4 linked regions of the Lonchura striata genome follow. The protein of the gene in region 1 interacts with the protein of each later gene in a pairwise test. Links are inferred from orthologs where the notes say so. Each region holds a gene or a part of one and is shown on either strand. Other genes may lie near its edges. The genes, in order: RNF41, ENOPH1, ASB6 and HOMER2.

Region 1 (7,174 bases):
GATTTTGGGGGAATTTCAGGGGGTTTGGGGCAAATTTTGGGGGATTTGGGGCAAATTTGGGGGGGATTTGGGGGGTTTGGGGAAATTTGTGGGGATTTGATGTAAATTTGTGCAAATTTGATGTAAATTTGTGGAGATTTAGGGTAAATTTGTGAAATTTGATGGGAATTTGTGGGATTCAGTGCAAATCCATGAGGATTTGGGGTCAATTTTTTGGAAGTTGATGTAATTTTTTTGGAATTTGATGTAAATTTTTTGGAATTTGATGTAATTTTTTTGGAATTTGATGTGATTTTTTTGGAATTTGGGGTCAACCCGGGGGGATTCGGTGCAAATCCATGAGGATTTGATGTAATTTTTTTGGAATTTGATGTAAATTTTTTGGAATTTGATGTAAATTTTTTGGAATTTGGGGTCAATCCAGGGGGATTCGGTGCAAATCCATGAGGATTTAGGGTCAATTTTTTGGAATTTGATGTAAATTTTTTGGAATTTGGGGTTAATCCATGGGGATTCGGTGCAAATCCATGAGGATTTGGGGTAATTTTTTTGGAATTTGATGTAAATCTTTTGGAATTTGGGGTCAACCCGGGGGGATTCGGTGCAAATCCATGAGGATTTGGGGTAAATTTTTTGGAATTTGGGGTCAACCCGGGGGGATTCGGTGCAAATCCATGAGGATTTAGGGTAAATTTTTTGGAATTTGATGTAATTTTTTTGGAATTTGATGTAATTTTTTTGGAATTTGATGTGATTTTTTTGGAATTTGGGGTCAACCCGGGGGGATTCGGTGCAAATCCATGAGGATTTGGGGTCAATTTTTTGGAATTTGATGTAAATTTTTTGGAATTTGGGGTTAATCCATGGGGATTCGGTGCAAATCCATGAGGATTTGGGGTCAATTTTTTGGAATTTGATGTAAATTTTTAGGAATTTGGGGTCAACCCGGGGGGATTCGGTGCAAATCCATGAGGATTTGGGGTAATTTTTTTGGAATTTGATGTAAATTTTTTGGAATTTGATGTAAATTTTTTGGAATTTGATGTAATTTTTTTGGAATTTGATGTAATTTTTTTGGAATTTGATGTAATTTTTTAGGAATTTGGGGTCAACCCGGGGGGATTCGGTGCAAATCCCCTCAGATTCGTGCCAATCTCAGCTGAGACCCCCCGGGCACCCCCCGTGCCCCCCACACTCACCCCCTTGCCCTGCGCCTGCTGCGCCGCGTACTCGGGGTTGGGCTCGCTGAAGTTGGGCACCTCGGAGTAAACCATGCAGAACCTGCGGGCGCAGCGCGGCTTTTTGGGGTGCCCCCGGTGCCAGAACCCCCCTGGCACCCCAAAAACCCCCCAAAAACCCCCCAAAAAACCCCCCAGGCTGCTCCTCACTCGCCGATCTTCTGCAGGTCGCCGCCGCGGCCGGTGTAGAGCGTCAGGCAGCCCTTGAAGACGGAGGCGTAGCTGAGGATGAGGAGGGTTTGGGGGTCACAGTGGGGTCCCCAAGTGTCCCCAAGTGTCCCCAAGTGTCCCCAAGTGTCCCCAAGTGTCCCCAGAGGTCCCCAGTACCCCTTGGTGAGGCGGATGATGTCCCCGGGCTGGATGAGGTTGCCCACGTCGTCCCACACGGAGATGTTGATGCTGCCGGTCTTGTCGGCCACTTTGCACGTCCGAACCTCGTGGCCGTCCTTGGTCTTGGTCACCCGGCCTGGGGGGGACAGCGAGGGGACATTGGGGTGACCCTGGGGATATCGGGGTGACCCAGGGACATCGGGGTGACCCTGGGGACATCGGGGTGACCCTGGGGATATTGGGGTGACCCGGGGACATCGGGGTGACCCAGGGACATCGGGGGCACCCTGGGGACATCGGGGTGACCCCAGGGACATCGGGGTGACCCGGGGACATCGGGGTGACCCAGGGACATCGGGGGCACCCTGGGGACATCGGGGTGATCCCAGGGACATCGGGGGCACCCTGGGGACATTGGGGTGACCCGGGGACATCGGGGTGACCCTGGGACATCGGGGTGACCCTGGGGATATTGGGGGCACCCTGGGGACATCGGGGTCACCCGGGGACATCAGGGTGACCCTGGGGACATCGGGGTGACCCGGGGACATCGGGGGCACCCAGGGACATCGGGGTGACCCTGGGGACATCAGGGTGACCCTGGGGACATCGGGGGCACCCTGGGGACATCGGGGTGACCCTGGGGACATCGGGGGCACCCTGGGGACATTGGGGTGACCCGGAGACATCGGGGTGACCCTGGGGACATCGGGGGCACCCAGGGACATCGGGGGCACCCAGGGACATCGGGGTCACCCGGGGACATCGGGGTGACCCTGGGGACATCGGGGTGACCCGGGGACATCGGGGTGACCCGGGGCACGGGGGGCACACGGGGGTGGCACCGACCGGTCTCCAGCACGATGAAGATGAGGTTGAGGTTCTTGAGGCCGGGTTTGACGTCCTTGACCAACGTCTCGGCGCTCATGGCGGCGGCGCGGCCGGCGGGGACAGGGGTGGCACCCTGGGGACACGGGGTGGCACCCTGGGGACAGCAGGGACACCAAATGGCACCCTGGGGACACGGGGTGGCACCCTGGGGACAGCAGGGACACCAAATGGCACCCTGGGGACACGGGGTGGCACCTTGGGGACAGGGAATGGCACCTTGGGGACACCAAATGGCACCCTGGGGACAGCAGGGACACCAAATGGCACCTTGGGGACAGGGGTGGCACCTTGGGGACACCAAATGGCACCCTGGGGACACCACATGTCACCTTGGGGACACTGAGTGGCACCTTGGGGACACGGGGTGGCACCCTGGGGACAGCAGGGACAGGGAATGGCACCTTGGGGACACCGAGTGGCACCTGGGGGACACAGAATGGCACCTTGGGGATGCGGGGTGGCAGCCTGGGGACACCAAATGGCACCCTGGGGACACGGGGTGGCACCCTGGGGACACGGGGTGGCACCTGAGGGGACAGCGGGGATATGGATGGGACCCATGGGGACACGGGGTGGCACCTGGGGACGTGGAATGGCACCCTGGGGACAGGGAATGGCACCTTGGGGACACTGAGTATCACCCTGGGGACACTGAGTGGCACCTTGGGGACACCGGGACCCGGGGATGGAGCGGCGGGAGCCGGGCGGGACATCGCGGGTGGAGCTTGGGGACATCCCGGAGGGACACCGGGACCGGGAACATCCCGGATGGGCACCGGGACCGGGAACATCCCGGAGGGACACCGGGAACATCCCGGATGGGCATCGGGAACATCCCGGATGGGCACCGGGACCGGGAACATCCCGGAGGGACACCGGGACCGGGAACATCCCGGAGGGACACCGGGAACATCCCGGATGGGCATCGGGACCACCGGACCGCGGGGACGCGGGGGCGGCCGGGACACCGGGGACAAGAACGGGACTACCCAAGAGCGACACTCCGGGGACACCGGGACCAGGAGCGGGACCGGGAGCAGGAACAGGACCGGGAGCAGGAGCAGAACCGGGAACGGGACCGGGAGCAGAACCAGGACCAGGACCGGGAGTGGAACCGGGACCGCGCTCCCTCCCGTCCCGCCACGCGAGGGCGGCCGGGACACCGGGGACAGGACCGCGGGATCGGGACTACCCACGAGAGACACTCCGGGGCCACCGGGACCGGGACCAGGACCGGGAGCAGAACCAGAGCCGGGAGCAGGACCGGGAGCAGAGCCGGGAGCAGGACCGGGAACGGGACCGGGACCGGGACGCGCTCCCTTCCTCCGGTCCCGCCGCCAGGGGGCGCCCGCCCCGCCCGCCGCGCGCTCACCGGGACCGGCGCCGCCGCCGCCGCCGCGGGCGATCCCGGAAGTCCTCCACCGCAGCCAATCAGCGCGCGGGGAGGCGGTTGACGAGCAGCATGCCCAACCAATAGCGATGGAGAAAAGGCGGGACTAGGAGGCTAAACCACGCCCCCTCATTCCCTCATTCTCCGCCTTTACCACCGAGTTCCCGCCAGGGCGGCACTTCCGGCCAGGGCAGCACTTCCGGCCAGGGCGGCACTTCCGGCCAGGGCGGCACTTCCGGCCAGGGCGGCACTTCCGGCCAGGGCGGCACTTCCGGCGCGGCGGCGGCGGCACCGGGAGGAGGCCGCGGCCGCCGCTGAGCCCCGGGCGGCACCGGGCGGCACCGGGAGGCCCCGAGAGGCCCCGGGCGGGCCGGGCCCGCCCCCCGCGGTACGTGCGCTGTGGGAGCGGCGGCGGAGCGGCCCCGGGGCGCTGCTCGGGGCTCCCGGTAGCACCGGGAGAGGCCGCGGGGGGGGGGGGAAGCGGGTACCGGGAATGGAACGGGAAAAGCCGGGGGAATTTCGGGGGAAATTGAAAAGAATTTGGGGAAAATCCAGATAAATTTTTGGGGAAAATCCAAAAGAATTTGGGGAGAATACAGGGAAATTTGGGAAAATTCTGGGGAAAATCCCGAGGAATGTTTGGGGAAAATCCAAAAGAATTTGGGGGAGAAATCCAGAGGAATTTTGGGGAAAATCCAGAGGAATTTGAGGAAAATCCAAAATGATTTGGTGGGAAATTCAGGGAAATTTGGGGAAGAAATCCAAAATTAATTGGGGGGAAATCGGAAATAATTTGGGGAACGATCCAAAAGAATTTGGGGAGAATATGGAGAAATTTGGGGGAAATTTGGGAAAAAATCAGAGGAATATGGGGGAAATCCAGAGAAATTTTGGGGAAAGTCCCAAATAATTTGGGGGGAGATCCAAAAGAATTTGGGGATAAATTCAGAGAAAATTTGGGGGGAAATCCAGAAAAATTTGGGGAGAATATGGAGAAATTTGGGGGGAATCTGAAATAATGTGGGGAAAATCCAGGAGAATTTGAGGAAAATATGGGAAAACTTGTGTGAAAATCCAGAGGAATTTTTGGGGGAAATCCAAAAGAATTTGGAGAAAATCCTGAGAAATTTGGGGGAACTCCAGAGGAATTTGGGGGAAAATCCAAAATAATTTTGGGGGGAAATCCCAAATAATTTGGGAAAGACTCCAGAAAAATTTGGAGAGAAATCCAGAGACATTTTGGGGAAAATCCAGAAACATTTTGGGGGAGAATCCAGAGACGTTTTTGGAAAATCCAAAATAATCTGGGGAAAATCCAGTAGAATTTGGGGAAAATATGGAAAAATTTGGGGAGAGAATCTGGGGAACAATCCAAGAGAATTTGGGGAAGACTCCAGGGAAATTTTGGACAAAATCCAGGGAAATTTGGGGAAAAATCCAAAATATTCCCAAATTTCTGAGCTTGGATCCCAGTGGGAACTGGGCTGGAGTTCCCAAATTTCTCAGTTTGGATCCCACTGGGAATGGAATTCCCAAATTTCTGAGTGTGGATCCCTGTCCAAGCCTGGCTGGGGGCTCCGTTATTCCCAAAATTCCCAAAAAAAAAAGCAGAGCAGGGCAGGATTTCTTCCCATCGTTGGGAATTCCAGGTGGGAATTGGCTTTTCCAGGAATTTCCAGGTGGCTTTTCCAGGAAATTCCAGGTGGCTTTTCCAGGAAATTCCAGGTGATTTTTCCAGGAAATTCCAGGTGATTTTTCCAGGTGGCTTTTCCAGGAATTTCCAGGTGGCTTTTCCAGGAATTTCCAGGTGGTTTATGCACAAAATTCCAGGTGTTTTTTCCAGGAAATTCCAGGTGATTTTTCCAGGAAATTCCAGGTGATTTTTCCAGGAATTTCCAGGTGGCTTTTCCAGGAATTTCCAGGTGTTTTTTCTAGGAATTTCCAGGTGTTTTTTCTAGGAATTTCCAGGTGTTTTTTCTAGGAAATTCCAGGTGATTTTTCCAGGAAATTCCAGGTGGTTCTCCTAGGAATTTCCAGGTGTTTTTTCCAGGAATTTCCAGGTGGTTTATGCAGAAAATTCCAGGTGGTTTATCCTGGAATTTCCTGGTGGCTTTCCCCGGCATTTCCGGGTGTTTTTTCCGGGGATTTCCAGGTGACTTTTCCCGTTTTTTTCTCTTTCCTGGGATCAGATCCGTCCTGCCGGACCTCGCGGCGCCGCCTGTGGGAGACGAGAGGGAAAAATGGGAGAATTTTGGGAGAAATTCCCGGCAGAGAGCGAGGCCAGCGCAGCCCTGCGGCATTCCCGGGATTCTGCCACGGGAGGTAACCCCAGCGGCCTTTCCATGGGAATTCCTGCCTTTTCCAGGGAATTCCTGCCTTTTCCATGGGAATTCCTGCCTTTCCATGGGAATTCCTGCCTTTCCATGGGAATTCCTGCCTTTTCCGTGGGAATTCCTGCCTTTTTCCATGGGAATTCCTGCCTTTTCCATGGAATTCCTGCCTTTTCCATGGGAATTCCTGCCTTTCCATGGGAATTCCTGCCTTTTCCCGTGGGAATTCCTGCCTTTTTCCAGGGAATTCCTGCCTTTTCCATGGGAATTCCTGCCTTTCCATGGGAATTCCTGCCTTTTCCATGGGAATTCCTGCCTTTTCCATGGGAATTCCTGCCTTTTTCCATGGGAATTCCTGCCTTTTCCAGGGAATTCCTGCCTTTTCCAGGGAATTCCTGCCTTTTCCATGGGAATTCCTGCCTTTCCATGGGAATTCCTGCCTTTTTCCATGGGAATTCCTGCCTTTCCATGGGAATTCCTGCCTTTTCCAGGGAATTCCTGCCTTTCCATGGGAATTCCTGCCTTTTCCATGGGAATTCCTGCCTTTCAGTGGGAATTCCTGCCTTTCCATGGGAATTCCTGCCTTTCCATGGGAATTCCTGCCTTTTCCAGGGAATTCCTGCCTTTTCCAGGGAATTCCTGCCTTTTTCCATGGGAATTCCTGCCTTTCCATGGGAATTCCTGCCTTTCCGTGGGAATTCCTGCCTTTCCATGGGAATTCCTGCCTTTTCCAGGGAATTCCTGCCTTTTCCAGGGAATTCCTGCCTTTTCCATGGGAATTCCTGCCTTTTCCAGGGAATTCCTGCCTTTCCATGGGAATTCCTGCCTTTTCCATGGGAATTCCTGCCTTTCAGTGGGAATTCCTGCCTTTCCATGGGAATTCCTGCCTTTCCATGGGAATTCCTGCCTTTTCCAGGGAATTCCTGCCTTTTCCGTGGGAATTCCTGCCTTTTCCATGGGAATTCCTGCCTTTCCATGGGAATTCCTGCCTTTTC
Region 2 (7,077 bases), on another chromosome or scaffold:
CCCTCCATTCACTCACGATGCGTTGCAAGATGGCTTTTTGTCGCAGTATCTCTACCTAAAAAATCAAGACAAAATGCATGTCAGATCTGTGACAGTTACTACAGGATTGTTAAAAGGTCCATTTTCATGAACTGCTTTAAGTCTTCTATATATTCCTTTCTTCACTGTTAAAGATCATATGCATATTTATTAAGGTAACACAAGAGGTTTGTTTAGTTGCCCATCAGTAATTTATTTTCCCGAATATTCAGCCCATCTAGGAGGCTGCTCCAAAACAACCATCCAATTTAAGACAAGTAAGCAGGCTCTGGATCACTTTGTTTTCCATTGGAAATACTGCCAAAAGGCTTTCCGATTATTTGTTTATACAGCTAAATGACTTATGTGCAACATAAGTCAGGTCACTTTAGCTCACAGTCCATATGCATATGATCTTTAATGTTTATCCAGATTTAAAAGTTCGTTTTGGTTTGCAGATTTCACTATTAGCTATAAAAAGAAAAAAGCAAGCATTAAAATCTTAAAGAATGCACATTTAAAATGAGGTTCCACAATTGAAATACAACACTAAACAGAAGACCAAATGATTAAGCTGTAAAGGCATTTATGTACTTTAACTCCTGTAAAAAACCATTTAAGTTAAAGACACTTAATCTCCAAAAAAGATTAAAAAAAGAAGCCAAAGTCTGAAGTTTTCCACTTTAATCTTTACGCTGGTACATGAAGTTGGAAGAGACCATACCACAGGACAGCGTTTTCTGGTGTATGCCTTGCGCTCTGCCTGCAACGTGCGACCCCAGAGATAGACGTGGTCAGGGTGACACACGGCCTGCAATGAAGTTCCCGCTGGCGGGTACAAACAAGGTATAATGTCAGAGTTAGAAGACAACATTCTTGTTTTCCTTAAGTTGTACCCATTTCAGTACTTTACCTGTTAATACTTCTAATAAGTTTAATTATTCCTCTAGACCACCTGGTACACAACGCAAACCAGAAAAACTCTTATGTTTTTCTGAAGTACTAAAGAAGATAAAGTCACGCTTTTACAAAGTTAAAGATCTATAGACACGTAGGCAAAGCTGGTTTTAAAAAAAAAGTATTTTTTAAGTTAACAAAAGCTTAATTAAAGGAAAAGTCATGCTAGGCAAGGTTTTACTCTTCGTTTGTCTATTGATCTTTAAATTAGATTAGACGTAGTTGGAGTGGAGCTTGCGCTCCTGTACACACCTGTTTGTCAGGCACTAGGTACTGCCTTAGTAGGGCTGGTAGTTGTTTTGGTGGTTGCCGCCGCCACGGGACGCCTTCCCATATGTGCTTTGCTGGCCTGGAGGTAGCATGTGGGGAAAAACAGAACCCACAAGTGTTAACACCAGCCTCAGAGGGAAGCTTCACACACAGCAGCACACCAAGGGATCTCATCTTTAGAGCCATGGGCTGACTAAGAGCAAAGTTGCTCTTCTTATCAGGAGCGAGGGCAAAACCACTCACCGCTGTAATCCGTGTATCCCGGCCCATATCCATAGTTGGGATAGTTGTACCCAGAGTAGTCGTAGCCTCCATAGCCACTGTAGCTCTGATCACTGTAAGTGCTATTGTAATTCCCATAGCCTTGATCATAATAGTTATTAAATCCTTGGTTCCAGTTTTGTCCCTGACCTGAAACCAAGCATAGCAAGTGTAAGTTTCAAAACTTTTTTCACTCCTCTCCTGTGCCCCTTTATCTAACTTTCTGGACATGAGAATAATCCAGTTGCCTGAGTACCAAGTGACACCAAAGGACAAGCCTTACTGTGTGGTGCGAGTTGTGGCTGCTTGACCTTTATAGATTGAGATGCATTAACCTGTATAGTACCAGCTGATCCTTCTGATCTATTTGAAAGTGCAGCAAAGTGACCACCCCACTCCTTAGCAAACAGCTCCTGCTTTTCTCCCACAGGCCAATTAGATGTATCACTTTAAAGTGAAATTGCAACTGCTGGTTACACTGTCCACTAAGGGTGCACCCTACACCCACCTTGCCCCTTTACCACTTGAATGCAAGCAGATCAAGAGGAGGCTCCTCAGCTTCAACAAGCAACCATAACCAACAAAACACCACTTACTCACAGGCTACTTTACACATTTGATTTAAACATGAGATCTGCACACAGCCTGCAACCTGGAATATCTGCAAACACCTGAATGTTTGGTTAAGTACTTAGATTAACAGAACCACTGAAAATACTCACCCCGTCCACGCCCCCTTCCACCTCCACGTCCACCAGAAGAATTGCTTTTCCCTCCTTTCTGCTGCTGCTGTTGCTGCCTGTACACCTCTTTGGGCTGTGCTACTTTGATTTCACACTGTAAGGACAGAAATCCTTTAACTTACTACAAATTCCACGAGCACTTTGTGAGCTGCTTTCACAGAAGCCTACAAAGACGGATTTCACATACTAAGAACAAGAGTTTTCCCACCTTGCCTGAACCAATCTGGTGGTATCTGCTCTCTAACAACTTCTTTACTGGCTCTTCATCTGTATACGTGATAAAACAGAAGCCCCTCCTTTCATTCGTCTTTGTGTCCATGGGAAGCTCAATGTTTTCAATCTGAAATCAAAATGAACATAAACAATGCGTAAAATCTGTAAGCAACCTTTTTATGCCACCAGAACTATCTGGCAGTGCAGAATCGATATGCTGACTACTTCTGGCAGCTATAAATCAGACTATTACAATTTTAAGAAATCATTAATATATAGATTCAACTAGCTCTAGTTTTGGCCAACTACCACCTCACAAATCCTTTCTTAAGAAAGAGGCCAGACTACACTTGAGAATTGGAGTGCTCTTATATGCCAATATACTATACCTCGCCAAAAGCACCAAAGTACTCCTTAATCTGTTCTTCAGATGTATCTGGACTCAGCCCACCAACAAACACTTTTTTGGGTGGCTCCTTCCCTTTCAGCGCTTTTGCCCTTTTAGGATCTATTAACTTGCCATCCAGTTTGTGTTCCTTCAGTTCCAACACCTAAAAAGCAGAGAAAAGAACAAAGTCTCAGATCGCTACAGCTACACAAGCTGGCTCCGTGCCATCGGACCACAAGAACAGCACCCACCTTCTCCACGCTGGCAGCATCCTTGAAGAGCACGAACCCAAACCCCCTCGACCTTCCAGTGACCGGGTCTGTTTTGATTGTGCAATCCACGACCTCGCCAAACCGCGAGAGATACTCTGTCAGGTCCTTCTTGCTGGTGTCCCAGCTGAGGCCCCCGATGAACATTTTCCTGGAGGGCACGGAAGGCGTGCGGATCCGGGTGAGGGAACGCCGGGGAGCCCCCCCGCGCCCCCGCCGGTGACGTCACGGCCCGCTCGGCCCCCCCGCGCGCGTCCCCGCCCCGCGGAAACTGGGTCACCCGCCCGCCACACAAAGGCGGGCGCGGCCGCGGCGCGGGAAGGGAAGGCCGCGCTGCCCCCGGCCACCGAGCCGCCCCCCCGAGCCGCAGCGCGGGCGGCGGAGATGGATGCGCGACTCCGCCGCACCTCCCCCCCCCCACCACCACGTCCCCGGCCCTACCCGTCGTCCTGCTGGTTCTTGCTCGCGTTGATCTTGGAGCCCTCGGCGAACTCCTCCTGGCCGCCACTCATCTCTGTCGCGTCCTCCATGGCGAGGCGAGGGCGGCGGGGGTGCTCGTGCGAGCGGCGGAGACAGCGGAGACCTGCGCCCGGCAGAAAATGGCGGCGGAAGAGATCCGGGCACCGCCTGCGCCTCTTTTATATAGCCGTGCCGGCAGCCAATCAGCGCCGCCCTGCCGCCCGGCTCCGCAGCGCCCCCGGCGGCTCGCGGCGGCGCTGCAGCAGCCGCCCTGCGGCCGCCATCGCGCGGGCTGGGCCGGGCCGGTGCCGCGGCTCCGGGCGGGCTCGGGCACCGCCGCACCGGGCACCGCGACGGGCGGGGGCGGGGCCGAGCGGGCCGGCCGGCGGTGGGTTGTAATTCGTAACCCAGAAACCCCCTTCGGGCGACGGCGGTGGGGAGGGGCGGGGCGGGCGCTCCGTGGGCGGGCGCAGCCGGCGCGGCGCTCCCCGCCGCCGCCGCGCGTCCCCGGTGCGCCCCACGTGCCGCCGCCGCCATGGGCGTGCTGCCGGTGCCGGCGGAGGTGCGCGCCATCCTGCTGGACATCGAGGGCACCACCACCCCCATCGCCTTCGTCCAGGTGAGAGCCGGTGGCCGCCGGCACCGCGGGGGGCTCCGGTAGCATCGCCGCTCCCGTCGTGACCCCCAGCCCTGGCGTCGAGGGGGGCTCCCGTAGCATCGCCCTTCCTACCGTGACCTCCCCGGCCCCGGCAGCTCGCCTCAAGGCAGGCCGAGGTGCCGCCGGGAACGAAAGCCGTGACCCATTTTCCGCGTTTTTCCGAATAATGCTCGCGAGCAAGCGCGCCTTGTTTTGCCGATCGGCCGCCGCTGTGGTGGGCTGGGGGCAGGTCGCTACCGCGGAGATTCGGGCACCTCGGGGATTTGTTTCCTGGATGTAGGGCATTGGGGTGCTCGCAGCCTCACCCGGGAAAAGCCCTCGAGCATCGCCGATCCTGTGATGGCTGGAGCTGCAGCACCGCACCCGGCTCTGCGGAGACGCTTCTTGGCCTTAATTTGAGTAATGCACAGTTTGCAGTAATCGGTAATTCTCGGGGTGATCCGCTGCCTTTTCCCTTGGGGAGGCTGGTACAGCCAGGCGCCCCCGGTGTGGGAGGGCAGCGCAGGGGACAGACAGACACACCGAGCGTTCGCGACAGGGACTGGAGTGGCACCGACGCACGAGTGGCTTCCCTTGCCTAGGAAAAAGCTTAAGACTGCTGGAAGTGCCGGTTCAGGTGCAGAACCGGGGGCACTGGGAAGTCTGCGAGTCACAGGCGCTCGGAGAACCGCAAATTGTCATAGCAGGGGTCCCTCCTCTCCGGGAGGCTTTGCTTCGCAGGAGGGAGCGGCTTGCTAAAACAGCGAACAGATGTATCCCTTCTCCTGCCCTAACTTGGATTTCTCTGTGAGACATTATAGCTTTTGGTGGATCTTTGCAGCCAGTGGCGCACAAAGGTGCTTTGTGACCCACATGGCAGGTGAAGGCTCCTGCCTGGCTTTCTAGAGCCTTCTGCTAACACAGCTTAACAGCTGATGATGAACAGCATGACCTACATCTTTCCTGTCCATGTTCTTCCAGTGCTCTTGAAGAAACTCCAGGCCTAAGATGGCATTATAGCTTCCTCCCTCCCCTCAATATCTTTCAATTCAAACAGTTTGGACAGCTCAGGTTTCTTACTAAACATCTAACAGAGCAACTAAGTTGTTTCTGTCCACCTTGAAGCCGTTTTGCAGTTGTGCAAACACATGCCATGCACCTGAGACTCTGGGCTTCCACCCAAAGTCTTTCTGTTGCAGAGAGGCCAAATGAGTTTTGATTCTCAATAAAATTCAGTTTGATGAAAACCCTGAAAATGCTTGGAACAAGTTATTTCATCTGGTCTTTCAGTTAACCTCTATTTGCCTTTGAAAGATCCAACTGATGGTTCAGTGGACACTTTATTCTTCAATATTAAACAATTTTACTTAATTCTTTCTCTAATGTTAGAATTACTGAATCTGCAAAGTAAGGAAATAGGATGAGTCAGTTGATGAGTGGATTAAGGAAAGCTGTCAGAAAAGAGAGTATTTGGAGTCTTCCACACAGATTCCTGGCCTATTAAACTTAGTACATCGTTGGCTGGGATCCATAAAACATTTGTCCCATTAGCTGTCCACTACTCCAGCTGTCACATGGGTGTCCGCTCTTAGTTCACAGACCTATGCACTTGCCAGTGGACCAAGATTTTTACCCTTTTAAAGTCCCCCAAATCATAGAATCCACTGGTCTTTCAGAGTCATTTTGGGAGTTTTTCTTAGCCAGCACAAGAGTATGAAACACTGCTTTTGAAAAGCAATCGTGTCCTTTTGACATCTGAGTTGTAAAGGAGGTTAAACCAAGCCAGCAGGTCAGCTGCATTTCCCAGTGGATTCTCTTTCATTTCCTCCATGATTTAAAAGATAGTTTGAAAGTAAAGGACATGAGAGTAACAGGGGGCATTACAAGGCTTTTGATTTCCCTAGGCAAGTTTGTGGTAATTCTTGAAGCAATTTGCATTCTTTTAAAAATATACAGCATGGAAAATACAGTATTAGAGCAATAGAAAATCCTGCAGTTCTGCCACCACATCACAATCTCAGGACCACTGCTTTCTTAATTAAGTAACAAACTAAAGATGACATAGAACAAGGAACAAGAAACTATGGGCCATTTTTTGAGGAGAGGTGAGTTTAGGTTAGTTTTTTTCCCAATTAAGAAAAGCTCAGTTCTCTACCCAGAGGAAGGACTTCCCTGCCCTTCTCCTTGACCTGAGGCTTTTACTGTACCCGGAGATGCACGGTGGCTGCTTGTGGCTTCTGACTCATGAAACATCATTAATGAGAGCAATTTGTAATTATTTCTGGTTGCTCTTGGGATCTCGGTGAAGGTTTGTAATTTTCCTGTGGCGCTTCTCCCAAACCCCGTTTAATTTCATTTGCAAGACTGTCCTGTGGAGTTCGGTGTCACCAGACCAGGCTTTTAATTTTAAAAGGTCCTCTAGCTTTGGTGAGAGGTTTAGACAGAATGACCTTTTCTTGGACAAGTGCCCCATCAAGAATACAATAGCATAACTTATCTGTTCAGAGTTGCCAGCCTTGTACTCCTCAGCTACTGGGAATGTGGGGTCACAGGTGCCACTTGAGACATTTTTTGGCAAGCCCAGGAAAAGTTATCACCTGCCTTTCCATCACAGGCTATAAGACTTTCAGCTACATAAACGTTTGTGTAAAAAAATCCACCTGCACTGATCCTGGCCCAAGACTGGCTCAGTCCTGTGCCCAGGCGGACACCCTTGGCAGGAATCTTCACCAGCTACAGCACTGTAGGGGAAGCTTAAGTTTGGGGAAATAACTGTACAAAGCAGCATGTGCAAACGTTTCCTTTAAAAGCCAGCCAGCCTTACCTCTGCCAGGTTAAAGGAGCAGCCTCTTTTTCTGCCAG
Region 3 (8,034 bases), on another chromosome or scaffold:
AGATTTTGGCTCTTTCCAGCTCTGCGGGGGGCTCCTCCAGTGTGCAAACAATCCAGCCCAGCCTCCCTTCCCCCTCTTTTTTGGGGGGGGTTCCGTTTATGGGTTCTGCCGGTCCGATTCGCTGTCCCCAGGGGCGTTTTGGGAGCCAGCTCCGGTGTCCGGTTCTGTCCCCTCGGGCTGATGTCACCCTGCCTCTGCTCCTGCTTCCCCGCGGGATGCTCCAAAGATGGGAACTGTGGTGCTGCCCAGCCCGGCTGGACGTGTCCCCTGTCCCCCCGTGCCAGGGCAGCGCTGTGCGCGGCGCTTCTGCGCTCCGAGAGTGTTTTGGAGCGCGAATCAATGGCCAGCAGCCCTCCTGGCTGCTCCGTGCTCACGGGGAGAGGGTGGCTGCATCCCCCCGGGGACCACCAGGCTCTGGGGGACCCAGCACAGCCTCGTGACACCCTTCCCTCACTCCATCCTGCTTTTTGCCACCGTGGGACAGACCCCACCCAGGATGGAGACGACCCCGTGTCCAGGAGAAACCGCTCGAGGGTCAGCCCCGACCCTTCAGCAATGGGCACTGGTTGGCTGCTGAGGGGGGCAGGGCAGTGGGGACCCCCATCCTTGGGATGCCCCAGCACCCCCCTCTTGTCTCCAGAGCTGGGAACATCCTGCTGGGATTATTTTGGGGGTGGCTGGTCTTGGCGCATGGAGGGGCGAGGGCAGGAGCGGGGGATGGAGCAGCCCCACCCCCGTTTATAACCCTCTTCCTCCTCCTTGTTTAGGGCCAGACCTTATTCTTGAACTGTCTGGCTTTTCCAGGGGAGACAGCTCCCCCTCAGTCCTTGGCATTAAATAATTAAATGGAGGGAATAATCGTCGGTGAAACCCCCTTGGGTTCGCACTTCCTCGGGCCCTGTGATTGCTGATATTTTTTTGGTTGAAATATGACCTTTTTTATGATCAAAGGGGATCAGAGTTCCAAAGGAAAGTTTAAAAAAAAAAAAAAAAAAAAAAGGGAAAAAAAAAGAGGGCCAGCATTTTCTTTTTTCCCCCAGTCTTAGTGGTCTGGTAAAGTTTCTTTAGACATGCAAAGATTTACACACCTTTCTGCAGGGTGCCTTAAATTACCCTCCAACTCTTTACACATTTCCATGAACAGAGCAAGAACAGTAAGTCATTGAGAAATTAACTGGCCTTTCAATAATATCCCCTGTCGGCCTTTCAGAAGGAGAATGTCTAATGACTTTTTTGAAGTAGAGGTCAGGGTTTGCTTTTTTTAAATAAAACAATCTGTATTAATGCAATTTCCTTTTTAGCTGTAGGATTTGCCCTTTTTTTTTTTTTTTTTTTTCCTCAGCATCGTTTTTTTAACACCACCAGCCACACGAGGCATCCCAAGCAAGACCTGGTTGCTTGAGACACACACTCCTGGTGTTCCCTAACCTGCTTGTGCAAGCTCTTATCATTTAATTTTTTGGTAAAAATTGTGTTTTAAACTGGACTTCGAAGCTGGCAAGGTGACTCAGCTTTGGGTGGTGCAGAGACGGAGCTGAGCAGGTTTGCTTTACCTGACACCAGCACCTGGGTTTTGCTGAGCTGGGTGTGAGCTCTGAGTCCAGCTTTGCTGGGCCAGAACTGCTGGGTGATGAAGCAGAGGCACTGAGCTGGAAGAGCTGTGCTGGGCCCCTCAGAGCTGTGCTGGGCTGTGCTGGGCTGTGCTGGGCTGTGCTGGGCTGTGCTGGGCTGTGCTGGGCTCCTCAGGGTGAGGATCTGTCTGTCCAGAGCCTGCCAGGTTTGCAGCCCTTGGCATGGATGTGTTTCTCTTTGCCAGTCCTTCATCTTCCTCTCGAAAGAAAAAGATTGAAAATATAATATTTGTTTGGTAATCTCAGTTTGTGTTTCCTTGGGGTTTCCTGGTATTTCTCTCACGCTGCACTAACACCTTGTGCTTCCGTGTTGCTCGGCACGGCACAGATTTGGATGTGCTCTGCCAGCCCCAGCCCCTCCTCACCCCAAAACCGTGGACAGGGGCAGTGCAGCCTCCTTGGAGCACTGCCTGGGATGGTGCTGCTCCTTGTGGTACCCAGGAGTTCCCTCCTAACATTCCCAAAATCTCGCCCTGTGGATGTTCTGGTGCAGAGAGCTGGGCTGGCTCGCCCACAGCTGAAGGATTTTCTGACCGTGGAGTTGCACCTCTGCTGCCTGGAGGATGCTTGGGGTAAGGAGTGGGAAAGAGGAGGGTGTGGGGGATGGCGGGGGCCTGGCAGTGCCTGGCCAGGACCAGGAAAGGGCTCTGGGGTGTGTGCCCGGCCCGTGTGCTGCCCAGGCTGGGGATCAGAGCACCCCCTCCGCCCCCGGGGCATCAGGCAGGGGCCAGGGCAGTGCCACCCGCAGGGGTGACAGCCAGGAGTAGCTGCTGGGGGAGTCCCCCGTGCCCAGCCCTGCCCTTCCCAGCAGGAATGGTGTTTCTGGATTTACTGAGCAGCTCCTCTTTCTCCCTCCATCTCTGCCAGACCCCAAAAGTACAGCATGCCCTGCGCTGGCTCCTCTCCCCTGCAGCCCTCACAGCTCCCCCATTGCCTCCTAGCTCCCTGTCTCTGTGGTTGGTGGCATTATAAAACACTCCAGCAAGCCCCTTGCTGAAGATTTTTCTCCCAGCTTTCTCATTCCCTCTCTTTCTGCCTCTCTTCTGCTCTTTCTTTCTCTCCCTCTCTTTCTTTCCCTGCCAGGAATCCCAGTCAGTCCCAGATGAACCAATACTCCGTGGCTCTGCTATTTCCCTTTTATTCCCCCCCTCCTTCAACAGCGAGATGGGAAAAGAGTGAACTAAAAAAAAAAAAAAAAAAAAAAAAAAAAAAAAAAAAAAGAGAAAGAAAGAAAGAAAAAAATCAAAGCGGCACATATTGGATCCAGATGTGCTTACAGCCCTTTCCAGCAATTTAATTAAATTCCCCCAGACAGCCAGGAGGATTTCTTAATGATCAAATTTCCCTGGCTTTCCTCCTAAAATGCCCCTCTTTCTTCGGCTGGCTGTTGCTGTGTCTCCCTGATGGATGGCCAACTCGCATTCTTCCGAGTCCGCCCCGCCAAGGCCGTGGGGAGGAAGGGGCAGAGCCTGGTGCTGTTCTCCCAGCCAGGCACTAAACACCCGCCCAAGCACGGCCAGAACGGCCCTGCCAGCAGAATCTCTGCTCCCAGGAAATGTGGGGCTGGGGAATCTCCCTGCGCTGTGTCCCGTGGTGTGGCCGTGGCAGGGAGGACTCCCACGTGCGTGGGCTCGCTGTGCTGCTGGCAAGGGAAGGGCTCAGCCCGTGGCTCTCCTGGATTGTCACCTCCCAGGGCTGCTTTGGAGCCAGGTTTGGTCCCACACTGTGTCCCCAAAAGCTCCTTTCAAATTGGGGGAAAAGCCTCTGTGGGGCTCCTAAAAATGCACATTGGGGCAGCTCGGTGTCCCCTCTCATCCTCAGGGACAGCATGGCTGGGGGCAGAGGTGGCACTGGGGTGACCCTGCCTTGGCAGCCCTCCTTTCCCAGCAACAGCAGGAAAGGAGAAGCGATTTCTGCCCAAAGTGCCCACCAGTGCCACACAGACAGGGATGGGGTTTGTGTCCCGTGCTGCCACTGGAATTGTGGAGGGTCCAGGGTTTTCTTGGATTGTGGCTTTTTGGGCTTTACTGGGAACAGAGGGCCCAGGGTGTGGCTTTACCTGGGACTGGAATGAGGGTCTCAGCTGCCCAGCCCACCCCAGATGGGGTCCCCCCAGCCAGGCTGCTCTGGTTTGAAGCCAGCTGAACCCCCCTATGCAGAGGGACAAATCCCCCCCGTCCCTCACTCTCCCTTCTGCTTTCCCCCTCTGCTCCCTGCCTGGGCTGGATGGGGTTATTTCCACCCCTACTCAGGCAAACACGGGGATGACACCCCAAAACCCCACCCAGGGGGGCTGCTGGGCTGCAGGAGGGGTGCAGGATCGAGGTGCCACTGCACAGCACCAAATCCTGGTGGCACCGGGGCCACCCTGCGAAGAGCCCTGTCCTGAAGGTGGGCACGGGGTCCAGGGGCTGCAAGCACTGGGGACCTCCAGCCTGGCACCCCACTTTGTGTGAGGAAAGGAAGGGTGGGAAACAGGGGGGACCGTGACAGCATGTCAGAAAAATGCCCAGCCGGGGCGGCCTCCTCGCCCCTTCTGCCCCGAGGCCACGGCTGCCTGCTGGAATCTGGAAGCGCTCCACCGGAATAAAATAAATACGTAAATAGGAAACCCAAGGCGGCTTCAGTTATTGCCGCTCTCCAGAGCTCCCCGCGCTGGCGGATTCCGCCAGAATAATAATAAAAATAATGATGATTATGATAATAGTACCAATAAATCCTGGGCTAATGCTCCCCCTGGTAGCTCTTTCAGCAGGGGAGGGTCCAGGCGCTGCGGGCAGCGGCACCGGAGCCACCCCGAGCCCCGGGGGGGCGGCAGCCACTGGGTGCCACCTCCCAGCAAAGCCAGCCCGGCCTGGGTGGGTCCTCCAGAGGGACGGGGGACATCGGGGAAAACGGGGACACCCGGGATGGGGGGACACCCGGGACGGGGGAGGACACCGAGGAAGGGGATAGGCGGGGCGTGACACCCGTGAGAGAGGGGACGCCCCGGGAGGGACAGAAGGGAGGAAAGGGGAGGACAGAGGGGGGGAAAAGGGGGGGAAATGGGGGGAAAAGGGGGGGACAGAGGGGGGGAAAGGGGGGGACAGAGGGGGGACCCCGGGGGATGCCCCCGTCCCCCCCATCCCGCGCGCGGCCGCGTGCTGCCCCCTGCTGGCCGCGCCCGCCACGGCCACGCCCCGTGCGAGGCCACGCCCACTGAAGCCACGCCCTTTAAAGCCACGCCCATGCGCAATGCCGCTCGACGAGGCAGCGCCTTGAGCGAGGCCACGCCCCCAATGGCCACGCCCCCAGCCAGGCCCCGCCCCCGGGTCCCGTTCCCGTTCCGGTTCCGGTTCCGGTTCCGGTTCCGGTTCCGGTGGCGGTGCCCGGGCAGGTGAGGGGCGGCCGGGCCGCGGGGAGCCGTGCGGGGAGGGCGCTGCCGGGGCCTCCCTTCCCTCCCGCCCTGCTCGGCGGGGGTTGCATTGCAATTCGTGGGTGTTTATCTGTGAAAAAGAACCGGGCTTTATGGACTCGTTTGTTTTTTTTTTTTTTCCCCCCCCCCCCGCTATAGCCTGATCTGCCTCCTCAGGGAAAGGTGTGATGGTGTGTTTAATGCACCTAAAAATATTTGTATGTCAGGAGTGGTGCATACCCTTATTTATTTATTTATTTACACGTACGTGCTGATAATAACAAAAATATTCCCGCTTTGGAGTATTGTAAAACGAGCAGAAAAATTAGTGTTGTTTTTTACTAACTTATTTTAATTGGGCTGTTACAGCTCGGTAAAGAGCGATAAGGGAATTAAGATGTGTGGTTTTTGTGCAGGGTCTCGTGTTCCTCCTGCTGGGGTCTGGGGGCTCCTGCCCATCCCTTGCCATGGGCTGCCCGGGGATTTTGGGGCTTCCTGGGCTTGAACCCCAGGAGGGATCTGCGGGGTGGGCGGTCCCTGGGGTGGCTCCAGCCCCTCTCCCAAAAAGCCAGGCAGGGCTTTGCTGGTTGCAGACCCCTCGGAGCACCCCCAGGCTGGCTCCTGGCACAGGGGCTTTGTGCCCGTCCTGGCTCCGCCTGGGCGTTCCCGTGCCGTGCCCAGATAACTGCAGAGCGCAGGAGATCATTTGGAGACACCAGATCGCTGTGTGGGAGGAGATCCCTGCGCTGCCTTTATATGTAAGGAGGGGGAGGCTGTGTTTTCTTCTATGCTCAAACCTGCTGAAAGCCTCGTTTGTTTGGAAGGAGGGAGAAGCCCCTTGGAGGACAGCGGTGCCGTGCTGGAGGCCCCGGGCGGGGCAGATCACGATGCCTTTCCTGCACGGCTTCCGCAGGATCGTCCTGGAGTACCAGCCCCTGGTGGATGAGCTCCTGGGGCTGCTGGCCACACCTGACACGGAAGGGCAGAGCTCCCTGGAGAGGTAAGAGCGGGGGGCTGAACACCCCAGGGTGTTTCTGGGGGATGGTTGGAGCTCAGGGAGGTGGCCAAGGTTGGACAGCGTTGGCTTGGACAGCCTCCAGTCCTGGCGAGCAGCTCATCCCACAGACCTTCATTTTGCTGCTGTTCTTTGGGAACAGGGAGGTGCAGCAAGGCAAACACAGGAGCTGTGGGGGCTCCCCAGGAACAGCCCTTTCTGCCTGACCCCTGGCAACAAAGCCTAAACTGGGGCTCAGCTCAGCCCTGAGGCTGCTGTGTAACCCCACAACCAGCGGGTCAGAGACCCACTGGGTATGGGACCAGAGGGAAGACCAGGGATTTTCCTTCTTCCCTGCTGCCACTTTGACCCTTGCACACCTGAGCTGTGTTCACTGAGTAACTGCTGGGTTTTTGTGTGTCTCAAGCCCTGCCTGCCTGGACAGTGACAGGAGCCAGCTCTCAGCTGTGAGAAGAGTCCTGGAGAGGGAGATCCACTCCCCATTTTATCAGGAAGGTGTGAGCTATGCCCTGCTGAAGGTCACTGAGCTGGGGCTTGTCCCAGCTGCAGAAATCCTCCTGGAATTTGGTGCTGACCTCAGCTTTGAAGGTGAGGCTGGTGGGAAGGAGGCTGGGCCAGGAGGAACCGGCAGATGAGAAGCTGCCCTGGCAGGTGGGGATAGCTGGGGCACAAACAGGGGGTGCTGCCAGCTCAGACACTCCTGCTCCTTGCTGGAGTAGTGTGGATGTGCCTTGTGTGTACCCAGGAGCACCAGGGGGGCTTTTGGCAGGATGGAGCCACTGGAGCAGCAGGACCTGGGGTGCCTGTGCCTGTTTTCTCAGGCATCACTGTGCTCCCAGGGCCCTCCCCAGCTGTCCCCTTCCACTCCTGGCAGGCACTGGGGCCGTTTTGGGGAAGCCCTTTGTTTTCTTTGACTGTTTTTGTCCTCAGACCCAGTCACCTACTACACCCCGCTGCACATGGCGGTGCTGCGCAACCAGCCGGACGTGGTGGAGCTCCTGGTGCGCCACGGCGCCGACATCAACCGCAGGGACCGGGTACGGCCTCGCTGCCTGGGCACAGCCAGGCCTCAGCTGCTCTGCTGTGTGGGGACAGCCCTCCTGCTTCCCTCCTGCTTGTGCTGCTTCCCCTTGGCACATCCCTGTGCCCACTGTCCGTGGTGCTGTGCCTGAAGGTCATGTTGGCTTTGGCTGAGCCCCTGCCTTGGAGCGATGTGTGGGAGGAGGCTGGAGAGATAAACTTACTGTGGCCAAGATAAAACCCCAACAGCAACTCCCTGCTGACACTCACAGACTTCAACATCTGCCAGTGTGTTTTAACTGTTTTTAACTGTTTTGCAGATCCATGAGAGCAGTCCCCTGGACCTGGCCAGCGAGGAGCCCGAGCGGTTGCCGTGCCTGCGGCGGCTGCTGCAGCTGGGGGCCGACGTCAACGCCGCCGACAAGAACGGTCCGTGCGCCCCGCCCGGCTCCCCCAGCTGAGGGTGGGCTGGGGCAGGGCACAGGGCTGGGCCATTTGCTGCTGTGCCTGCTCCCTGCTTACAGTCGGGTGTGGGAGCTGGGAGGAAGCTGGCAGAACCTCCCTGCACTCGATATTTTCTCCTGGTGTGCTGGCTGTATGAAAAGGGCTGAACCTAGCTCTGTGCAGTCCACGGGAGGTGGGGTGGGGCTGTTCCTCTGTTGTCCTAGAGCACTTGCTCTAAAACTCACTCTTCCATGGCACATAGACCCACTGAGGCTTCCATCAGCCCTGCACGTGTGGTCTTTGACTGTCCCCACAGCTGGGCACCATCATGGGGACAGTGGAAGCCTCTGCCAGAAGACTGGTTGTCACTCCCTATGTTTGGCTGTCTGGTGGGTGGGGCGGGTTGTTTTCCTTCCTGCCTTTTGGGGTGTCACCCTGTCATCTGTGACTGATTGCTCCATTGCAGGGAAGACAGCACTGCTGCATGCCCTGGCCAGCAGTGACAGTGGCCAGATCCACAACACTGACAG
Region 4 (7,195 bases), on another chromosome or scaffold:
CCAGGCTGGAGTCCTGGTGGTGACTGCAGGGCATCGTTCTGGTTTTGCTGGCTTTCTTTGTATGTCCAGGTCTTCTCTCTTTAAGATCTTATTTTAAATTATTTTTGGTTGGCTGCCTTTGTCTTTATTCAGAAGGCAACATATACCATAATGTGACAAAGACAGCTCTTTGCATTTACATAAACATCTGCTTGGATTTGGTACTTGCATTTTTCACAGGATAACTCTAAAAAAAGTGAAGTACAAACTGGGCATGAACCTTCTATGACTCCAGTTATACAGGTGCTTCCTGGCACTAAGTAAATATAAGAATAAACCGCACAGAATAGTAAGATAACATGCAACCCATTTTAAATTTAAATTTAAATTTAAATTTAAAACCAATTTAAATTGCTTTTAAATTACTTTTTCCCTTTTATTTTTTGCTTTTAAAGAGACAGAAAGTAATCCTATTATTCTGGCTTATTTCTGAAGGAGACTGAAGAGAAAAACTTTTTTTCTTAGAAATCAGATGTCTTGCTGGAGAACTTGAAAGTCTCATGTTTTTTGTGAGCTCTAACATTTTAATTGAAAGGACAAGAGCGTTTATTATTTTAAGCAAATAGATCTTTTGTCCTAATTATTTATTAGATATTAGATTAAGTAGGTTTTAAAAACAAATACTGCAAATCAGAGTATTTTCAACATAATTATTGAAAATCCTTTTTTTTCTGTCGCTTCACCTTTAACATTTTATAGCCAGTGATATTATAATTACATTAGCTCTCCATTTGTCAGGAGACTAAAAAAACTAATTCTCTGTTTCAAATGTAAAAATCAAGAATTCCCCAAGCTTATTTTGGTTAAATCCAGGATAACATTTAAAGATAGAAAATGGTTAGTTATTTGTCAAAGGGGGGAAAAAAAGGGAAATGGCACAGTCCTGCTGGATTAAAAAAATGCAGATTTTATCAGTCTACTTGGAAAAAAGAGAAAAATCACAGTACTGAATATTTTATTTAATACTACCTGCCATGGGAAATAGAGAGAAATCTACCTTGAAGTGTAATAGTTTAAAAAGACTGAACAGCAGGTTTATTCTGCAATAAAATTACATCTAAAATAAAATAGAGTGGCAGAAGACAACAATAGTGAAACCAAACAAAAGGAGAGAACAGAAACACAGAGAGAGGAAGAGCCCAGTGAGCTCTTTGCTTTTCAAAATGCTGGGTACATAGTCCTGATTGTTAGATCAGCTTTCTGAAAAGGATATTCATCCTGTATCTAGGAATCAAAAAATTGTATCTTTAGGAGGCCTGTGGGAATAGAAGAAATTTCTCATCTAAAGAAGTTAGACCCATTTACAGAATGTGGATATTTTTATTCCTCAGCTTGAATCCTACCAAGGGATCCTGTGCCTTCAGTATTTTAAGTGTTCCTAAGCGTGCCACAGCAATAAGGGCACACTTGTGAATACTAAATGAGGACTGATTTACCCTCCCTTACACATCCTGTGCCTGAGCCAGCTCGGAAATGAAAGATCATGTCACATATGAAGCTTGAGAACTCATTAATTGTGATAGAATATTTATAGTTCTCATTTCCAGAGAACTGAAAATACCTTAAACAACTGGAATATTAAATTACACAAAAATAAGTCAATGGGAACTATACACAAACTAGGACACAGTTACGGTTGAGATGTTCAAGATGGAGCTGTCTGTAGAAAAATTAAAAAAAAATTCAATATTGATATTGTTAAGTGGTTTGCATGAGATCTGGGCCTTACTCAAATCCATGGGACTTTTACCATTGACTTGAAGTGGGGACAGGGCTTCATCCTCTTTTTGGCAAAGAGGACCACAACAATGTGCCACACTTCAGAAGGAGGAGTATCTCATCCATTTGGAAGAACAGTGGGAATTTCAGATGAAGGGACTGCACTTACCCCAAATATGAACAGAAAACTGGGTTAAATTGTTGTCTACCAGGGAAAATGTCTCAGGGTACTGGAAAAATGGGACTAAAACCCTCTATGTCCTAGAAGACAGTTTTGCAAAGAGCAATAATGAAGTGGAAAGACCTTATGAACAAAAGCGATATACAAAATCTTGTATCATGTGAATTATGCTTCCATAAACTTAAGCTTTATTTTTATAAATGGGGTTGAGAGCACAGTCTTGAATGCAATATTGGAAAAAAATTTAAAAATTAGAAAATGCTAAGGCAACTGCAGTTCCAATTGCCAATTCTCATCATGACACACATAGTGAGGGCATTACCCCATTTTGATCCAATTCCATTAGATGCTTGTAAGTCTCATGCAGCACTGGTTCATAATACACAGCTTTTGGATACTCACCAAAATGAGCTAATTAGAGAGGACCAAGAGAACTTCTCTCTGATGAACGGAGATTTAACAAAATGCGGTAAATGGTGTAAAAACAATGTTATAAAATGCTCAGATCCATGGTGAGAGTTTTTTCCACAAGATTTCTATGCTGCTGTTTTTACCCTTAGAAAATGTCACCCCTCACTGTGTCCTCTAGAAGACAAAATGGTCACATCAAAGCAATATTCAAGGATGCAGGTCATCATGAACATGAAAGGCTTGTCACTTTTGCCATGGGTATCTCAGAGGAAATCAGAGGCTATCTCACCTTCAGCTGGCAGAACAGGACATAGGAAGTTTTACATCAGTGATTAGGTAAGGAGTTAAGTCTCCTTCAACACCCACAGTAACCCTCTGATCGTGGTAAAGAGAGCAGGTACATGGGAGAGGTGTCATCCTACAGCCCTGTGGAAATGTCTGTGTCATTCACCCCCGCTCTTTTTTCCCTCCAACGGAAAAGACTTTGGGTGCATGGGACTGAAATTCCATTTTGGTGTTCCAGACATCAAGAAATAGTTGTCTGTCAGAAAAAGGGTTCCACTGTCCACAGCTGGAAGGAGTCTGGATGCTGGCTAAGTTTTTCTTTCAGGATTTCCATGATGTCCCAAGGCAATACTAGGGACACCCCCAGTTATTACACATGAAGTAAAAGCAAGCAAACATAAAACTTTTCCCACAACTTCTAATCTTCCTTGGAAAGAAAGGATAAATCAACGTGAGATTTAAAAAAAAAAAAAAAAAAAAAGATGAAAATAATCACTCTTGGTGGCAGAGTATTAATTATAACTTTGTGTGGGTGAAGTTAAAAGCCTGTTTTATGTGTGAATTGGTCGTATTTTCTCCATGAAAGAGTAAGTGTGTCTGCGTACACAGTCCTGTGAACACTCGAACGAGCAGGTCCACGGCTCTGCTATGGATTTGTGTCCTGTGATTGCCGCTCAGATGCCAGTGTCACCCTCGCGGCTAGGTAGCCATTACACGGCTCTTCCACGCTAGTCCAATTTTCCTTCCCTGCTTAGGAATCGTCCCCCTTTATTTTCACGAAACCTACATAGTTTTGGGACGGTGTGTGGCACAGACTTGCAGCGAGGCTGAGAAGAGCCAAAGGAGATGCAGACCTCCCACATTTCTGGGCAGAGCAGGCGGGAGCTGGCTGCGTGCGGCCCCTGCCCTGCCGGTGGCCGAACAGGGCAGAGCCGAGCCCGCGGCTCGCAGGCTGCGCCCCCACGGCCCCGGGGAGCGCGGATTCGGAACGCGGGGAGGGCGTGACAGCGGGAGAACCCGCTCGTGGTTCACCGGGCATCCCTCGGCGTGGCATCGCCTCCAGGGGGAAGCGCATCCCCGGCACCAGCGCGCCGTGCCCGCGCCGCGGAGCCGGGGCTGGCGGCGCGGCATCCCGGTGCGGGACAGCCGGTCCCGGACAGCCGCTCCCCGGGGAGGGCTCACCCCTCTCGCCGTTGAGGCTCCCCGGCCGCGGGCGGGGCCGCGTGGGGACACCCCACAACTTCCCCCGAAGTTTTCTTGCCGCCTCGTTCGTCCCCTTCGGCGGCTCGCCGTCCCCCGGCGAGGGCATCGTGAGGACGAGACCCTGCACCCCACCGGCTCCTGGCCGCGCACCGCGGCACAACCCGCCGAGCGCCGGCGGCCGGGCCCGGGGCGGGGAGCGGAGCCCCGGGCGCGGCCGGCCCCGCCCCGCCCGCCGCCCCCGCGCTGCCGCCTGGCAGGGCGGCGGGTGCCGCGGGAGCTGCTCGGTGCCGCCGCCGCCCGGGAGGGAGGTTATGTAAGGGGGGAGGGAGGCGGGAGGAGGAGCAGGACGGCTCTCGCCGCCGTGCAGCCGCCGTGCAGCCGCAGCCAGCCGGGGCGGCCGCATGTGCGAAGTGGGGACGCGGCCGCCGCTGGCCGCCGAGCGCGGGGAGCCGCCCGGGGGTGCCGCCGCCGCCGCCGAGAGGTGCCGAGACATGGGGTGAGTCCGCCGGGCCCCGGCCCCGCGGGGCACCGCGCCCCGAGCCGCGCGTGGGCGCCGCCTCCCGCGCCGGCCCCGCCGCAGGTGCGGAGCGGGGCGAGCGCGGCCGCCCCGTGAGCGCTGCCCTGGACGCGTTTGGTACCGTAATTAATCGCTGGCTGCCGCCCGAGCCGCCGGCGGAGCGGGCACGCCGCGGAGGAACGGCACCGGCGGCAAAATCCCCGCTGGAAGGAGCGGGGAGGAGCTCGGGATGCCGCGGAGCGGGGGCCGGAGCGGGGCCGGTCCCTGGCCGGTCAGCTGCGGGATGTGCGGCGAGTTCATTGTCATGTTCCACGCGCCGGTTCTGCCGGAGCTCTGGCTGCTGGAGGCACACGGTAAACTTGCCTGAATTGTGCCAGATGGTCCCTAATTTGTGCACATATTTTTCTCTTTTAAACATTTTTTAATATGCCAGGAGTCTCTGACCACATGTGGTAGCCTTTTGGAGAATTCAGCTTGGTCTTTCCAAAAATTAGTCCTTCATTTTTGTTATCCTCTAACTTGTATGAGGGGACAAACGCCAAATGCTGGCATTAGGGTAGTTTATGAACTAAATATCAGAGAACAGAGGTTAAGGTTGTGCCTTTGGCTTGAACTATATATAGGTTTGAGATCCTCTCGACCAGAATGTCTTGGGGGATTCCAAACCCACACATTTAATTTACTTTATTTTTATCCTATTATGTTCTCTTACACCTTTTCCTTGCCTCTCCTCACCCCCGTGTGGCAAGGAATCGTTCTCCAGTTTCTGAGCTTCCTCTGCTGCTTTCAAATGTCCAAATTCCCACTATAGATTTGTTAATTGTTGTCAAAGTAATATAATGTGAGGCTGTATGGATAAATAATGAATTAAAATGGCATGCACACGTCCAAATTTGATACTCTGGAGTACTGAATAGAAATACAGGGGCAGAGGGAGAAATAGGATCTAAGTGAGTATCTCCCTACGTTTCTCTTCAGGATTACAGGGGCTCATCTGCTTCTTAATTATGCAAAGTTTAACTGGAAAATAAAAGAGAAACTGTCCTTGGGGTTGGAGAAAGAAGTATTGAAACCTGTTCGGAGCAGCACTGCCCCACAGAGTCCAGGATGATCAGAAACATCCATCCATGGGAAACTTGCCTCTGTCGATCTACCTGGGTGTCTCTAAAGGCAAATGTTTTAGTTGCTGTCATTTTTAACCATTTCCATTCTGGTAGATCAGTTTAGCTGTGGCTTGGAGAGAAGTGAGTGGAAGGTCACAGTGCTCCTCCACCCTTTCTGTCAGTCAGTTTAGTTCTGGCCTTGGTGTGGTCCTGCTCTGCCTCCGGAGCTGTTCCAGCTGCGAAGGACTTTGGCTGCAAAGGCTTTTGAGAGCTCTGGTTGTGCTCCTGTCTGTGCTGCTGCATGCAGTGTCAGATCATGCAGACCTGTACAGGGAGCAGGCACGTTCACTGGTCAGTTCAATACACTGCTTTAATGTATTTCTCAGTAATTTCAGTCTTACACTGGTGCACATGAGATCAAGCTCCCAGTGTCATTCATTCCGCGGGTTTCAGCGTGGGTTGTGCCTTCTCTTGCACTCTGTACAGAGTTCAGACAAGGTGTTTGGTGAATATGCATTTTCCCAGTGTCTCACATAATTATCTTGTCATTCACCTTTCTGATCTGGAGAACTTGGAAGTGCATTTGTGATAGCATTACTGCAGCTGTGGCTTAGCACACATGGCACAGGAGCAACCTCCCAGTTTTCTTCTGGTTCCATCTATGCTGCAAATCCTTCACCTCTGCATGCTCCAGCTTGTCCTTCTGTGAAATGGGCAGCTCTGTACTCACGTGTCTTTGTGAAGCAGGTCGTGGTCAGAACACAGAGCTCAGTCATTCTTACTTGCATGAGTATATTTTGGCCCAGGCATTTGAGTGGGATTTGCTTCCTGGGCACATTTTAGTGTCACATATGGGGCATGTACTCAAAGAAATTGTGACAATTAATTGATTCTTAGCTCTTAAAATATTTTTTTCTTTTACTTTCCTTTTTTCTTTTTCCTGGGGGTGACCATTGCTAATGATTCATTTAAATGCTGCCTATGGATTTGGCAGTGACTGATCGTGCTATGAAACCTGATACAGCTACTTGAGCTTAGCAAAGCAAAGCTATTTAAATTGCTTATTAGCTGTGAGCTGAGCTGTTTAAACTGTTGGTTTAGTTCAACTTACTAGTCAGCAAGGTAGTGTAATGTTTTACAATTTACATGTTTTTTTAAAAAAAAACTAATGCCTGTAATACAAGGGACATGAAAACAACATTGTAAAAAAGTTACCAGAAAAAAGTCTGCTCCAGGGTCCATAAAAGTCAATGTGAAAGTTGCTGCTGACTGAAAACCACTGTATTTTGGTCAAGCCACTGTTAAGAATCTGGCTGGACAATGTCTACTTTAAAGGGAATTAATCTTTTCTCAAATCACTTCTTTCTTCTACCAAGCATATCTGATAGCTGCTGTTACCTCAATCCTCTCAGAGTTTAAACTTCAGCTATTGGAAAACCACAATGCAACACATTTCCAGCTGTAGAAATCTGTGTCTGAAAATACCTCCTGCTTTGTCTCTTGCAAGCCAAGGGCTGACACAATCAAGGAAGTGTCTCTGATGTTAGTGGGCTGCACCTACTTATCTAATGGCCGTGGTCTGGCTCAGAATGACCTCAGTTTAAGCAGTCCAAGTTAAATTTACAGTTCTAAGGATGCTTGAGATTTTGGTATTAGCTGATTTAAGAAGGTGCTGGATAGGTGTTTCATCTGTGCCTAAATTCTTTTATTATTTTCATTTCTTTACTATCTTTGTAT

Evidence for each region.
Region 2: the proteins of RNF41 (region 1) and ENOPH1 interact in binary tests that used the Homo sapiens proteins (3 or more experiments, as listed by UniProt). The link is inferred for Lonchura striata from reciprocal best matches to the Homo sapiens genes RNF41 and ENOPH1.
Region 3: the proteins of RNF41 (region 1) and ASB6 interact in binary tests that used the Homo sapiens proteins (3 or more experiments, as listed by UniProt). The link is inferred for Lonchura striata from reciprocal best matches to the Homo sapiens genes RNF41 and ASB6.
Region 4: the proteins of RNF41 (region 1) and HOMER2 interact in binary tests that used the Homo sapiens proteins (3 or more experiments, as listed by UniProt). The link is inferred for Lonchura striata from reciprocal best matches to the Homo sapiens genes RNF41 and HOMER2.

The regions. Positions count from the first base shown.
Region 1 is NC_134629.1:5,463,563-5,470,736, reverse strand, and holds the start of RNF41 (E3 ubiquitin-protein ligase NRDP1), read left to right. Parts: upstream 1-4,168; 5' UTR 4,169-4,237; intron 4,238-6,038; 5' UTR 6,039-6,171; intron 6,172-7,174. UniProt on the Homo sapiens protein: Acts as E3 ubiquitin-protein ligase and regulates the degradation of target proteins. Polyubiquitinates MYD88. Negatively regulates MYD88-dependent production of pro-inflammatory cytokines.
Region 2 is NC_134606.1:60,814,649-60,821,725, forward strand, and holds the start of ENOPH1 (enolase-phosphatase E1), read left to right. Parts: upstream 1-4,057; 5' UTR 4,058-4,113; coding exon 4,114-4,197; intron 4,198-7,077. Other genes in the region: HNRNPDL (heterogeneous nuclear ribonucleoprotein D-like), read right to left, coding at 1,254-1,324, 1,489-1,656, 2,229-2,343, 2,458-2,589, 2,852-3,013, 3,102-3,270, 3,561-3,649. UniProt on the Homo sapiens protein: Bifunctional enzyme that catalyzes the enolization of 2,3-diketo-5-methylthiopentyl-1-phosphate (DK-MTP-1-P) into the intermediate 2-hydroxy-3-keto-5-methylthiopentenyl-1-phosphate (HK-MTPenyl-1-P), which is then dephosphorylated to form the acireductone 1,2-dihydroxy-3-keto-5-methylthiopentene (DHK-MTPene).
Region 3 is NC_134624.1:3,661,353-3,669,386, reverse strand, and holds the start of ASB6 (ankyrin repeat and SOCS box protein 6), read left to right. Parts: upstream 1-4,983; 5' UTR 4,984-5,007; intron 5,008-5,849; 5' UTR 5,850-5,912; coding exon 5,913-6,025; intron 6,026-6,446; coding exon 6,447-6,628; intron 6,629-6,970; coding exon 6,971-7,077; intron 7,078-7,380; coding exon 7,381-7,489; intron 7,490-7,970; coding exon 7,971-8,034. UniProt on the Homo sapiens protein: Probable substrate-recognition component of a SCF-like ECS (Elongin-Cullin-SOCS-box protein) E3 ubiquitin-protein ligase complex which mediates the ubiquitination and subsequent proteasomal degradation of target proteins.
Region 4 is NC_134613.1:14,903,915-14,911,109, reverse strand, and holds the start of HOMER2 (homer protein homolog 2), read left to right. Parts: upstream 1-4,142; 5' UTR 4,143-4,239; coding exon 4,240-4,334; intron 4,335-7,195. UniProt on the Homo sapiens protein: Postsynaptic density scaffolding protein. Binds and cross-links cytoplasmic regions of GRM1, GRM5, ITPR1, DNM3, RYR1, RYR2, SHANK1 and SHANK3.